Linked DNA regions of Ovis aries. The protein of the gene in region 2 interacts with the protein of the main gene of each other region in a pairwise test. Links are inferred from orthologs where the notes say so. Each region holds a gene or a part of one and is shown on either strand. Other genes may lie near its edges.

The links.
Region 1: the proteins of ERBB3 (region 2) and HDAC6 interact in a protein complementation assay, tested with the Homo sapiens proteins (2 studies listed by BioGRID and IntAct, with this or other methods). The link is inferred for Ovis aries from reciprocal best matches to the Homo sapiens genes ERBB3 and HDAC6.
Region 3: the proteins of ERBB3 (region 2) and PPM1B interact in a two-hybrid assay, tested with the Homo sapiens proteins (2 studies listed by BioGRID and IntAct, with this or other methods). The link is inferred for Ovis aries from reciprocal best matches to the Homo sapiens genes ERBB3 and PPM1B.

Annotation. Positions count from the first base shown.
Region 1 is NC_056080.1:56,256,736-56,260,983, forward strand, and holds the start of HDAC6 (histone deacetylase 6), read right to left. Parts: upstream 2,871-4,248; 5' UTR 2,838-2,870; exon of another isoform or gene 2,744-2,837; intron 2,568-2,743; exon of another isoform or gene 2,389-2,567; intron 2,251-2,388; exon of another isoform or gene 2,047-2,250; intron 1,990-2,046; exon of another isoform or gene 1,871-1,989; intron 1,691-1,870; 5' UTR 1,661-1,690; coding exon 1,568-1,660; intron 1,483-1,567; coding exon 1,321-1,482; intron 1,239-1,320; coding exon 1,150-1,238; intron 1-1,149.
Region 2 is NC_056056.1:163,433,832-163,436,390, reverse strand, and holds the end of ERBB3 (receptor tyrosine-protein kinase erbB-3), read left to right. Parts: coding exon 1-20; intron 21-205; coding exon 206-726; 3' UTR 727-2,015; downstream 2,016-2,559. UniProt on the Homo sapiens protein: Tyrosine-protein kinase that plays an essential role as cell surface receptor for neuregulins.
Region 3 is NC_056056.1:80,069,265-80,073,714, reverse strand, and holds the end of PPM1B (protein phosphatase 1B), read left to right. Parts: intron 1-109; coding exon of another isoform or gene 110-121; exon of another isoform or gene 122-148; coding exon 149-454; 3' UTR 455-2,047; coding exon of another isoform or gene 2,048-2,077; 3' UTR 2,078-3,799; downstream 3,800-4,450.

The DNA.
Region 1 (4,248 bases), on a different chromosome or scaffold from region 2:
GTATTTGGTAATGAAGCTTTTTGCCATCCAGAGTCTTCCACTGGAAGACGGGCAATAGAAATTAAACTGGTAAACACTTAAGCAAGTTGTAGTCACTAAGTCATGTCCGACTCTGCGACTCCATAGACGGTAGCCCACCAGGCTCCTCTGTCCATGGGATTTCCCAGGCAAGAATACTGGAGTGGATTGCCATTTCATTCTCCACATAAGAATAATAATGGACAAAACAATGGCATCGGTTAGGAATATCTCAGGTGTGGGGAAAGGGGAGTGGCCAGGCAAAGCCCTCTCCAAGGGTCTCCTTGAGATCTGAATGTTAACTGGGAGAGGAGGCTGAGATGAGAGAATGCCAGGCATGTTGGAAGAACAGCAAGGGGATCAGTGTGCATGAAGTGAAGTGAAGCAAATGAGGGGTAGGATTGGCTGAAGAGGTCATGGAGGTGATATGGAACCAGGTCACATGGAACGCTGAAGGCCAGGATGAAGAATTTAAACTTTACCTTCAGGGAAACAGTCTGTCCTTGAAAGACTTTAAGAGAGAGAACATCATTGTATGTATTCTTTTAGGCTGTTGTATGGAGAACAGGCAATAGGGGCGAGGGTGGAAGCAAGGAGGTCTCTGCAAGTCTAGGTGAGTCATAATGGTGGTGGCAGTGGAGATGGCAAGGAGAGGTCAGATTCTGAATCCATTTCAAACAGCCAAAAGAATTTGCTGATGGATTGCAACATGTGACTGAATGGGAAGTGTAATTCTTCCATTTCAGCACAAAGGTCCCTTCTTCAAGGAAGCCTCCTGAGAACCCTGGTTACTAATCTAAGGTCCTCTAGTAAACACTCTTGAAAGCCCTGGTCTTAAGTCCTCCTTCACCAAATACCTCACGTTGCTGACGGCTATTTAGCGACCTGTTCTCCTACTTGTCAGCTCCCTGTCTGTCTTGTCTGACACATTCGTATCATGTCTGGCACACAGTAGGCACTCAATAAATGTTCGTTGGCTAAATGAAAAGAACCCATTCGAGCCTGATCCCCATCTCCCTAAATCACTTGCTTCCAGTCTCTAGGCTAGAGTAAGAAAGGGTTCATTCTTGCTAATGGGCTCTAAGTGCATATATTTGTGCACTGGGTGTGGCCTGGAGGAGCCAGCCTCACCTGTCATCCCAGAGGCAGTGGAATTCATTTAGCTGTTCATCGAACACCAAACCAGTGCCAGACAGTGTCCTGGCCTCCAGGTTCAGATTCTGCGAGGAAAAAAATGGGAGAGACTGATGCATTGAGGGCCTGAATCAGAGGGAACATCCCACACTGTCCAGGATGGAGAACCTTAGGGTTTTGATTGTCCCAGGAGCCTCTCACCAGCCCTTGCAGCCCCATGATGAGGTCTTGCTCGGCTGTTTGGCTAAGCTTCTTCATTCTGCCTTTCTTCTTTACCTCCGCTAGACTGGGGCTGGAGCGGAGCATGGCACCCTTTTTAATACCTCGCTTCTGCCAAACAGAGAGAAGGGTCAGAGTCCAATGCACAGCCCGCTGCTCCCCCTCCCCCTCATCAAGGCAGGTTGGGGGGCCTCACCGAGGTGATGCTGGAGTCATGGGTGGGGGAGGGGGGATTGTGCCTACTCCTTCGCTCCTTGGGTGTGGTGGAATCCTGACCGGTGGAGGTCATGGCTGGGGAGACTTCACCCCTGACGCGGTCCTGGGGGGTGGGGTGGAGGTGACGGTGAAGGAGCCCGAACGCCCTGAAGACCCCACATACCAGCCCCTTCCCAGACCCCGCCCCCTAGGCTAGTCTCCTTCCCTTATGCTGGCTCTTCCCGACCGCCTTTTAAACTCCACCTCTCAAGGCTCTCTCCCTCCAACCGGGTGTCCATCCTACCTGGTCCCGCCCATTCCACTAGGCTCCATCCCTTTAACACTATTCTTTCTCCTTTCAAAGTCTTGCCCTTTAACAGAGCAATTAACCCCCAAGCTCAGTCCGTTCTCTCCGCCCCTTCCGCTCTATCAACCCTTTCATTCCCCAAAGCCTCGCGCAGACCCCACCCCTTCGCAAACCTGCCCCTTCCAGCCAATCTCCCAAGATCATCAGCCACCCTTTCACTCAGCCAGACCCAGCCCCGGCCCCGGCCCCGACTCCACCCTTAACGATCCACTTAACTCCACCCCTTATCGGGCCAGCCCAGCACCTTCCATTTGGCTAGATCCTGACCCTAACGTTTTGACAAGCCCAGCTCCTCAGGGGACTGCCTCTTTCCCTCCAACAGGCCCCACCCCCTACCCAAGTCCAACCCCTAGCGCTTCACCAAGCTCCTTCAGTCAGTTCGAGCCGCCTTCCGCTGGCCCCTCCTCCTTCTCGCCCCGCCATTGGCACCGACCAATCCCTTCCGCGCCACTCACCGGGTGCAGCCCCTTTCTCAAACTCCGCCCTTGTCTGGAGCCTCCAAATTCCTGACGACCGCAGGTGCGTGATCCCCTCTTTTACATTGGGCCGAGTCTCTCCATAGACCGCCCCGATTCCGCCCACACAGGGGACCGTGCCGCACCGCCGCGCCCCCACAGCGGGCCACACCTCCCGTGGACTCACTATCGGCTACTCCACTTCTCTGCGCTCGACGCTGGCCGTACTGCGCCTGCGTGAGGCGCCTACAGGCGGCTCGACCAAGCGCCGGGGCTCAAGCCCGACCCTCTCCCAACCACCCCCGCTGTCGTCCTATCGGCCATGGCCGCCGTCCCTTATTCCCTGTCCACTTACCTTAGGGCCCCTCCAGACCCGCGCCACCCTACCGTGCGATGACTCAAGAGTGGAAGCAAGCAAACAAGGGCGTTAGGAAGGGGCGCTTTCTCACCTCCCCGTGGCTTCCCGCGCGACGCGCCGTAATGACGTAGCCCGGGCGGGCTGGTGGTAGTGCCTGGAAAGCGTTGGAATCTGGACAAGGCTGGTGGCGGCCAAAATGGGAGTGGTGATGATGATAAATGTGAGGATTTTCTGAGTTCATGTTCACTAAGGTAGTGCACAAGAAACATTCACCAAATGTTAGATACTAATATTCTGCCGCGAAACTGGTGGAGCAGAAGGAGTCTTGGTAGGGGCAAATAATTGTGATAATAGCAAGTATTATGTGACAGGCATTGTCGTAAGACAAAATACTATGAGGTCGTTCCTGGAGGCTGCTTTGCAGATGAGGAAACTAAGGTTACGTGACTTAACCATGTGACCTTGGGCAAGTTACTGAACATCTCTGTGCTTCAGTTTCCTCATCTGGAAAATTGTGATAATGATAGTGCCCAGAGACAGAATGGACCTCAGGAGGGGAGTTTTTATTTGGGCGGTGGCCCTCCACAGTGTCACTTCTACTCCCATGGTGTAATAGAAAGTGTGTGCCTAGCACGTAGGGGAGGTTGCCCCTGTGCACCCCATCCCCAGCTACCTCACATCACATGTCTAAATGTCAGCCCCACAGTAAGCCAGTTTGTCCTCCTAATCTCCCTGTCTCATTCTTCACCATTTCCTACTGGGCTGTAGGCTGGGGTGGGAGAGATAAGCAGTCTGGGGTTCAACATCGCTTACTAACAAACAGATTGACAGCCCCATTGCCCGGTAGCTGGGTCCTCTGACCGTCTTGCAAACCCCTGTTCGAGCCTTCTCGTCCCTTACAGTCTTTTCCTACCTGACCATGTCTTTTGTCCCAGTGGAAGAGGGTTACAGCTTTAAGACCTTTAAACCTCTGCATAGACCAAAGAAAGCATGTAGACAGTGATACACCCTGAGGAGCATTTTGAGACTGTGATGCAGGGTAAAAGAGTAGGGAGTCATGAAAAAGCCAAGGCCCATATTTTTCTGAATAGTCAGAAGAGAGATTTCTCTAGAGCTGACGTTGGCAAACTTTTTCTGTAAAGGGGCTGATAACAAATATTTTACGCTTTGCAGGTCACATATGGCCACTGTGGCATTGTCTTCCTTCCTGTTCTCCTTCCCCCTCTTCCTTCCTTTTCCTTTCTTTTGCTTCCCTTTCTTTCTTTTCTCCATCCCTTCCCCTCCTTTTCTCTCCTTTATGTTCTTTTTGTCTCTTTAAAAGTGTAAAAACAGGTTGCAGTCTGGCTTTGGCCTGAAGGTCACGGTTTGTGGATCCCTGCTGTACAGTGTCAGTCTTCGGTTTCCTTTATCTGGCTGGGATTCTTTTACAGGATGAGTGCAGAGGTTCCATGCTTCCTGAGGAGTGGCATTCCTTTTATGTGAGATGTGAGGATAGGGATTCA
Region 2 (2,559 bases):
GCCAGATGCACGCATCAAAGGTGCCTGATTCTGCTCTGCTTTCCTCAAATCTTTCTCTAATCCTCCTTTTGCAGGCTCCTCTTAATCCTTTTGTCTTCCCCGAGCATATCCTTCCCTATTCATTTTTTCCTAACATCCTTCTACTCCCCACTGCCTATTACCATGAAGTAATACCACATACCTAGCCTCTCTTCTCTACCCCTAGGTACCTCCTCCCGGGAAGGCACCCTTTCTTCAGTGGGTCTCAGTTCTGTTCTGGGTACAGAAGACGACGATGATGAGGAATATGAATACATGAACCGGAGGAGAAGGTGCAGTCCATCTCGTCCTCCTAGGCCAAGTTCCCTCGAGGAGCTGGGTTATGAGTACATGGATGTGGGATCAGACCTCAGTGCCTCCCTGGGCAGCACACAGAGTTGCCCACTCAACCCCGTGCCCAACATGCCCAACGCCAGCACAACTCCAGATGAGGACTATGAATATATGAATCGGCGACGTGGTGGAGGAGGCGCTGGGGGGGACTATGCAGCCATGGGCGCCTGCCCAGCCTCTGAGCAAGGGTATGAAGAAATGAGAGCTTTCCAGGGGCCTGTACTCCGTGGGCCCCAGGTCCACTATGCCCGCCTCAAAGCTTTACGTAGTTTAGAAGCCACTGACTCTGCCTTTGATAACCCTGATTACTGGCATAGCAGGCTTTTCCCCAAAGCTAATGCCCAGAGAATATAACCCTTACTCACTGAGGTGCTCAGGGAGCATTTGATGGCAGCTAGTGCCTCTGGAGAGTAACCCTCTTCTTGGTCTCTCTCCCTCACAGGTCTCAGCCCCATTTCCTAGTCCTAGACAATTCCATTCAAATTATGGAGGCCTTAAACACTTTGACACAAATTTCTTGTGGTTATGTAGCCAGCTGTGCACTTTTTCTCTTTCCTGATCCCAGGAAAGGAGATGGTTTTCCCTATTTTGTGTGCTTTCCCAATCCCATTCCTCAGCTTCCTCAGGGGAACTCCCTGGAGATATGAAGGATTACTCTTGTCCCTTTTTCTTAGACTCTGACTTGTTGACACTAGGCTTTAAAGTATGCCTTTATTTCCCTTTAGACTTTAAAGGAAGAGGAAAGGGGGGAACCTGGCAGGGGAAAGGAAAATTTTGGCTTACGATCCTTAACCCTGCAGAAAGAATGAGAAGTGAAATCTTGTGGAGTGAAGAAAGAGGTTGGGAGTAGATATTAATGATTACTATTAATTGAGCATTTACTATGTGCCAAGCATCCTGCTAAACTTTACCTAAATTTATCTCACTTCATCCTTGACATCAACTCTGTGACCTAGGTATTAGCCTATTTTACAAATAAGGAAACTGAGCCTTAGAGAGGGACTTGCCTGATGGCTCAGTGGGTTAAGAATCCGCCTGCAATTCAGGAGACACAGGAGACACGGGTTCGAACCCTGGGTCGGGTAGATCCCCTGGAGGAGGGAATGGCAACCCACTCCAGTATTCTTGCCTGGAGAATCCCATGGATAGAGGAGCCTTAAAGAGATTAAGTAAATCAAGTAGCAGGTCCATGATTCAAAATCTTCCAATGCATGTGCTCTTACTGTAAGGTATCAAGGAAAACTGATGTAAGCCAGAGCCCTGGTAAGGGGCATTGTCTTCTTGTTTTTGCACTGAATCAAGTCTAACTCCAACAACTACTGTAGCCTCCTCCTTCACCCTGACCTCTTATCCTAGAAGTGGAAGGGGGTGGTCAGAAGGAAAAATAACTGGACATCTCTGTGTAAACCGTAGCCTACATGTGCTGTATATGAGCTCCACCCAAGGGACAGATTCACGGGGGTCCCAAGAGCCACTTTCAGGAGCTATTCTCATCCAGTCGTGGGAAGCTTCCAGTAGGGATAGAAAGAGGACCCAGCTTCAGACCTCTGTCCCTTTGGATGGGAAACTGGGGTATCTGTTTTTATCCCTGAAATTTTTTGTTTTGTTTTTATACGTCTGAATAAAAATGCCAAAGTTTTGCAGCTTTCTGTCTGTCAAATGAAAACCTGTCAAAGTGTATGAGATAGAACACTCTTTTTCCCTGTCTCTCAGCAGTGGATGCTTCTGTCTCTTGACAATCCTACTGGGCCCCATGTCGCTTTCTCCATCCCTACTTTTCCTTATTCCCTTAAGACGAGCATAGAGCACAGTCCTTTTCATTTTAGGGTTTTACTATTAAATCTCTATAGGGCAACCAACTGGGAATAACAAAACAACGCGTTCAGGGACGTTAGAAAAAGTCCTAAGAGGTAGAATACTGAAATTCATGTTTTAAAACTCATTCTCTTAAAAAAAAAGTCTCCGTGAACACTTCCCCCAGATGGCCATCAAAGCTTGTTAGAACAACAGTGCCATCTTCAGTGGGAGTCCGGTCTTTAGATCGGGATAATCGCTCAGAAATCTGGCTGCCCAAGCAGCCCCTGCTTCCCGGACTCCCTCCCGATCTTTTTCCATACCTGCTCTGCCCCTCCCGGTTCTCCCAGCACCTGAGGACAAGAGGACTGGCCCGGCCGGTCTTGCCGGCCG
Region 3 (4,450 bases), about 83 Mb from region 2:
CAGTAACACTTGATTCTTAATGAAATGTTCTCATGCTTAGATATATTACTCATGGTAGAGAAATGAGTGTTTTGCTGTGATATGTTATGAAATACGTGTTATATCCTAGTTTGTCTACTGACACTGGGGTCTTGAATCTTAAAAAAAGGCCTCCGATGAAGCAGAGGAAAGTGGATCACAGGGGAAATTGGTGGAAGCTCTCAGGCAAATGAGAATTAATCATAGGGGAAACTACCGACAACTTCTGGAGGAGATGCTGACTAGTTACAGGCTAGCTAAAGTAGAGGGCGAAGAAAATCCTGCTGAACAAGCTGCTACAGCTGCTTCTTCGAACAGTGATGCTGGAAACACAGTGACAATGCAGGAAAGCCATACTGAATCAAAAAGTGATCTTGCTGAATTAGACAGCTGTCCTGAAGATGCAGGGACAAAGATGAGTGGGGAAAAGCTATGACTTGACTTTGTGGTAATATTGTTGTGATCTTTGATTTGATGGTTTTTTTCTTAGGAAGTATAATGTATGCATTTATATAACCATTTTGTTATTTGAAATCTTGGTAAACTAGTTTTATTATATTCATATATTATAGCCTTGTTTTTTAAGAAGGCTTTTGCATACATCTTTATCAGATAGTTTAAAATTGGCTATATTCTAGTACTTTGAATTTAATAAAATTACATGTCATTTCATATTGTATGCCAGAAATGAGGCTAACAGTTTATTAAAGTCAGTAGTTAAATTCATACTAGGAAAGGATTAGAAATTACCGATTAGCAAGATTACTTTATATTGTGGAAAAAATTGTTAATGTAGAATTATACTGCTTCACATATTAGTACATTCATAGTTAGCTCTGTAATGAATTTGTGTTTTCTTTAGTAATTTTAGTTCTTCAAAGAATGGCAGATGCTGTCCTGTAATTTCTTTTTTCAAGGATGATAATTTGTGTGTTCTTGGAATTGTTTATATTTTGCCTCTCTGTAGTTTTATTTTTTAGTAGTTTTGAGATTCCGGATGTGTGGTTATTTTTCCTTTTTCTGTATCCTTTATGAAACATCATTTTTGAAAAACCTGTGTATTATTCATCCAGCTTTGGTTTGTATATTCTGTGTAGCCTGACTACATACATCCAAATGTATGTCAACCAAGTGTTTAGAATGAAATTATACATGTTTAAGTCCAAATAAAGCATGTGATGTGGAATAACCTATGCATGTTGTACTTATTTTTAATTTTTTTAAAAAACAACCAGGTTTGGTATATTGGAAAAATAACTTGAATTTCATTTGTATCTATATAAAACTTAGAAAACTTTTGGTTTGGTGCGTTTTTCATTAATTAAAAAAATTTTGAGAAGTCTTGGTTACTCAAAGTAAATCTATTCTGTTTCTTAACCCCCTTTGTGACACAAAATATTAATCTTTGGACAGTATGAACACATGTAAACATGTCAGAAGGTTGTCATGATGAGCTTTTTAAAGATTGCAAGACTTTGAGTTTTGCTAGAAGTATTCATCAGAAATTAGTAATGCAAGAAGTAGAAGATGTTTTAAATAGTGGTGGCAGATATGAGTTTGACTTTGCTAAAATGAATTTTTAAAATACAAACAACTAAATCACATTAGAGTATTTTTTAAAACAATTGTGTATGTAGAACATTTTAACTTTGCTTTTTCATGTTTTATATTTATCATGTGTCTAAAGTTGCTTAAGGTGCCATAAGTTGAAGCTTTGCAATCTTTGGATATAGCTGATGTTTTGATCTGTTTTTCCAATGCCAGAATATTTTTAAGTGGTTTGAGAAAGAGGAAGTCATTTGGTGGAAAGGGGAGGAAAAAACCCAACCAGTTATCTATCTATATTAGATAGATCCATGTGTGTATACACACAGTATACAATACACACAACTCTCTCTGTAAAAGTACCTTTCAGACAAAGAAAGGAAGGTAACTTGTTCATCTGATTTTGTTTTCTTTTGAAATTCAGTCCAGCCTGGAAGTGGTGTAGGTAAATAGTAATAATATTCTTCCTTTTCTCTTCCTGTAGGGTGCTGGAGATCTAGAAGACCCATGGTAGCCTTATAAACCTTCTAAAATGCTTTTGATTCTGAAAATTGGGGGAAAAAACTTTTAATCACAATTTTCTTCAATACAAGGGAAAAATATTCTTGTGGATTCCCAGCGTTTTGTGATATGAGCAGAAAATCATTAGCATTTCCCATCATTTGTTCATATTTGTGTTTTCTGGTAATTGCCACTTGTAGCATTGCCTGTACTACAGTATTTTTGCCAGCCTCAGACATACTGGTTACATCTGTATTGAACTTTTGACCCTAGAAACCAATGGAGTTATTTCACCACAAATAACGAATATGCCTGAGGTGCATGGGAATATAGTTAGCTGTACTCTGAAGATACATTATTATTATTTTTTTTAACTAAGGCACACAACATATAAGCATGTAAGAGTAAAGAACTGTATGAGATGTTCCTTTTTTCAATTCACCAAGTTGGAAGCCTTTTGCAGCTCTGTGGCTTAAAATTTCATTTGAGCAATTTACTATAGGATTTATATTTATTATTAATTGTTATTTAATTTTTTTTTCCAATTTTACCTGTATTACCAAACTGGGTTCTCCAATAATGTCCAAATTGTAATGTTGCCTGCTTCAACATAAAGTATATTTGGCAATAATATTATAAACCCTTACAAATTTTATGCATGTATCTACTACATCCTTCAATTCTCACTAGAAAAATCTCTTGAAACCAAATGGATTAATTTATGGCTATTTATAATTTGCTTTGACATCTCACTGCTGCAAATTTTTTTAAATGATGAAATTTGCCTTTATAATGTAAATTGTGATTTTTGTTTTACATGTGGGTTTCTATAGTTTTAATTTTTCAGCTTTTAAGATACAACAGGTTTTGTGTAATTTGGTATAATTTTTAATTGTTTACATTATTTTAAAAGCTCAGAATATCACATTGAAATGACTATAAATACATTTAAAATTATCTATTTTAGATCTAAGGAAATATTACAGAGATATTTTCATGGGTTCAGTAACCTTTCATTTTATAACATTGGGCACGGTACGGAGTGGCTGTCACATAAGGTACTTGAAGATTATTAGTTTAATTCTATTTTTACAATAACCTTGAATTCTTGAATTCTTCTGAGTTTTGCATGTATCCAGTTAATGCTGAACGTGAAGAGTGAAATATTTATCTAAAAGGAGCGTGGGGGTAGGAGAGCAATGAATGTATCCATTTGTACATGGTGTACATGTTGTGGATGCTTTGTAAACATTTTCCTATCTGTTCAAATTGTGTTTCAGCAGGATGTAATTGCCCTTGTGTGTAGTTGAAATGAGTCATCATCTGGTCCTGTGTGAAATGGAATTCATGGTATTTTCTGTAACATTTTCCTGAAGCTGTTTCTGGAGAGCCACACATTTAAATACAGCTTTCTTGATCATTTCGATTTATTGTGCACCTGATTTTTTGGTCTGAAAGGAATTATTGCCACAACATATTTTATTTATTCTTTAGATTTTAGCCTTGTAAGTTAAAGTGCTTTACATGATGATGTTAAGAGCTATTTGTCCCTTGACTGGGTTTGGGGGGGTTGTTAAAAGATAGGGAATGAAGAATGCAAAATGGTTGTTGTTCAAACTGTCCACTCTGATCCAACCCTGTACTGATAGTACCTTTCCAGTATGATATTGTGATGTTTCATACAATGCAGTGAACATAACCAACTTGTTACCTAAATAAAGACTTGATAAAAACAGTGTGACATATTACTATTTTGTATGGTATTTAAAAATAAAAGTTCAGCTTTGTATGTTATCGTAAACATCTGATATAGTTAGAATATCTGTTATAAAAAATTTCATACAAAACCATGTAGGGGAGTTACAATTAAATCCAAGGAGGTATTAACCAAACTCTGTAGGACAATACTAGTAATCCCTTATCCACTCCCAAAACATTTTTATACTGTTTTAAGAAATCTTTTTCAGGGGACTTTGTGGCCATGGAAATAAAAATTTTGTGTGAGGTAGCAAAAGAAACACCCATATTCAGTATTTACTAATCTAAATTCCGTAGTCTAGCTGTTCTCGGCTGTTTTTGTTATCAGGACCCATTTATATATCTAAAAATTCAAGATCCCAAAGGACTTTTTGCTTTTGTGGGTTTTGTGTATTGTATAGAAGTTAAAACCAAGAAATTTTGCATACCATTTTAATTCATTAAAGATAAAACCATTACCTGTTAAAATAAATAGCATGTTCTATTAAGATAATTATTTTCCAGATCTAAAGAGTTTAGTGTGAAAAAATAGCACTAGCTTTCATTTTTGTAAATCCTTGAACGTTGACTGGATTCTCTTATTTACTTTTGCGTTCAATCTGTTGCAGTGTGGCACTGTGTTCGCTGT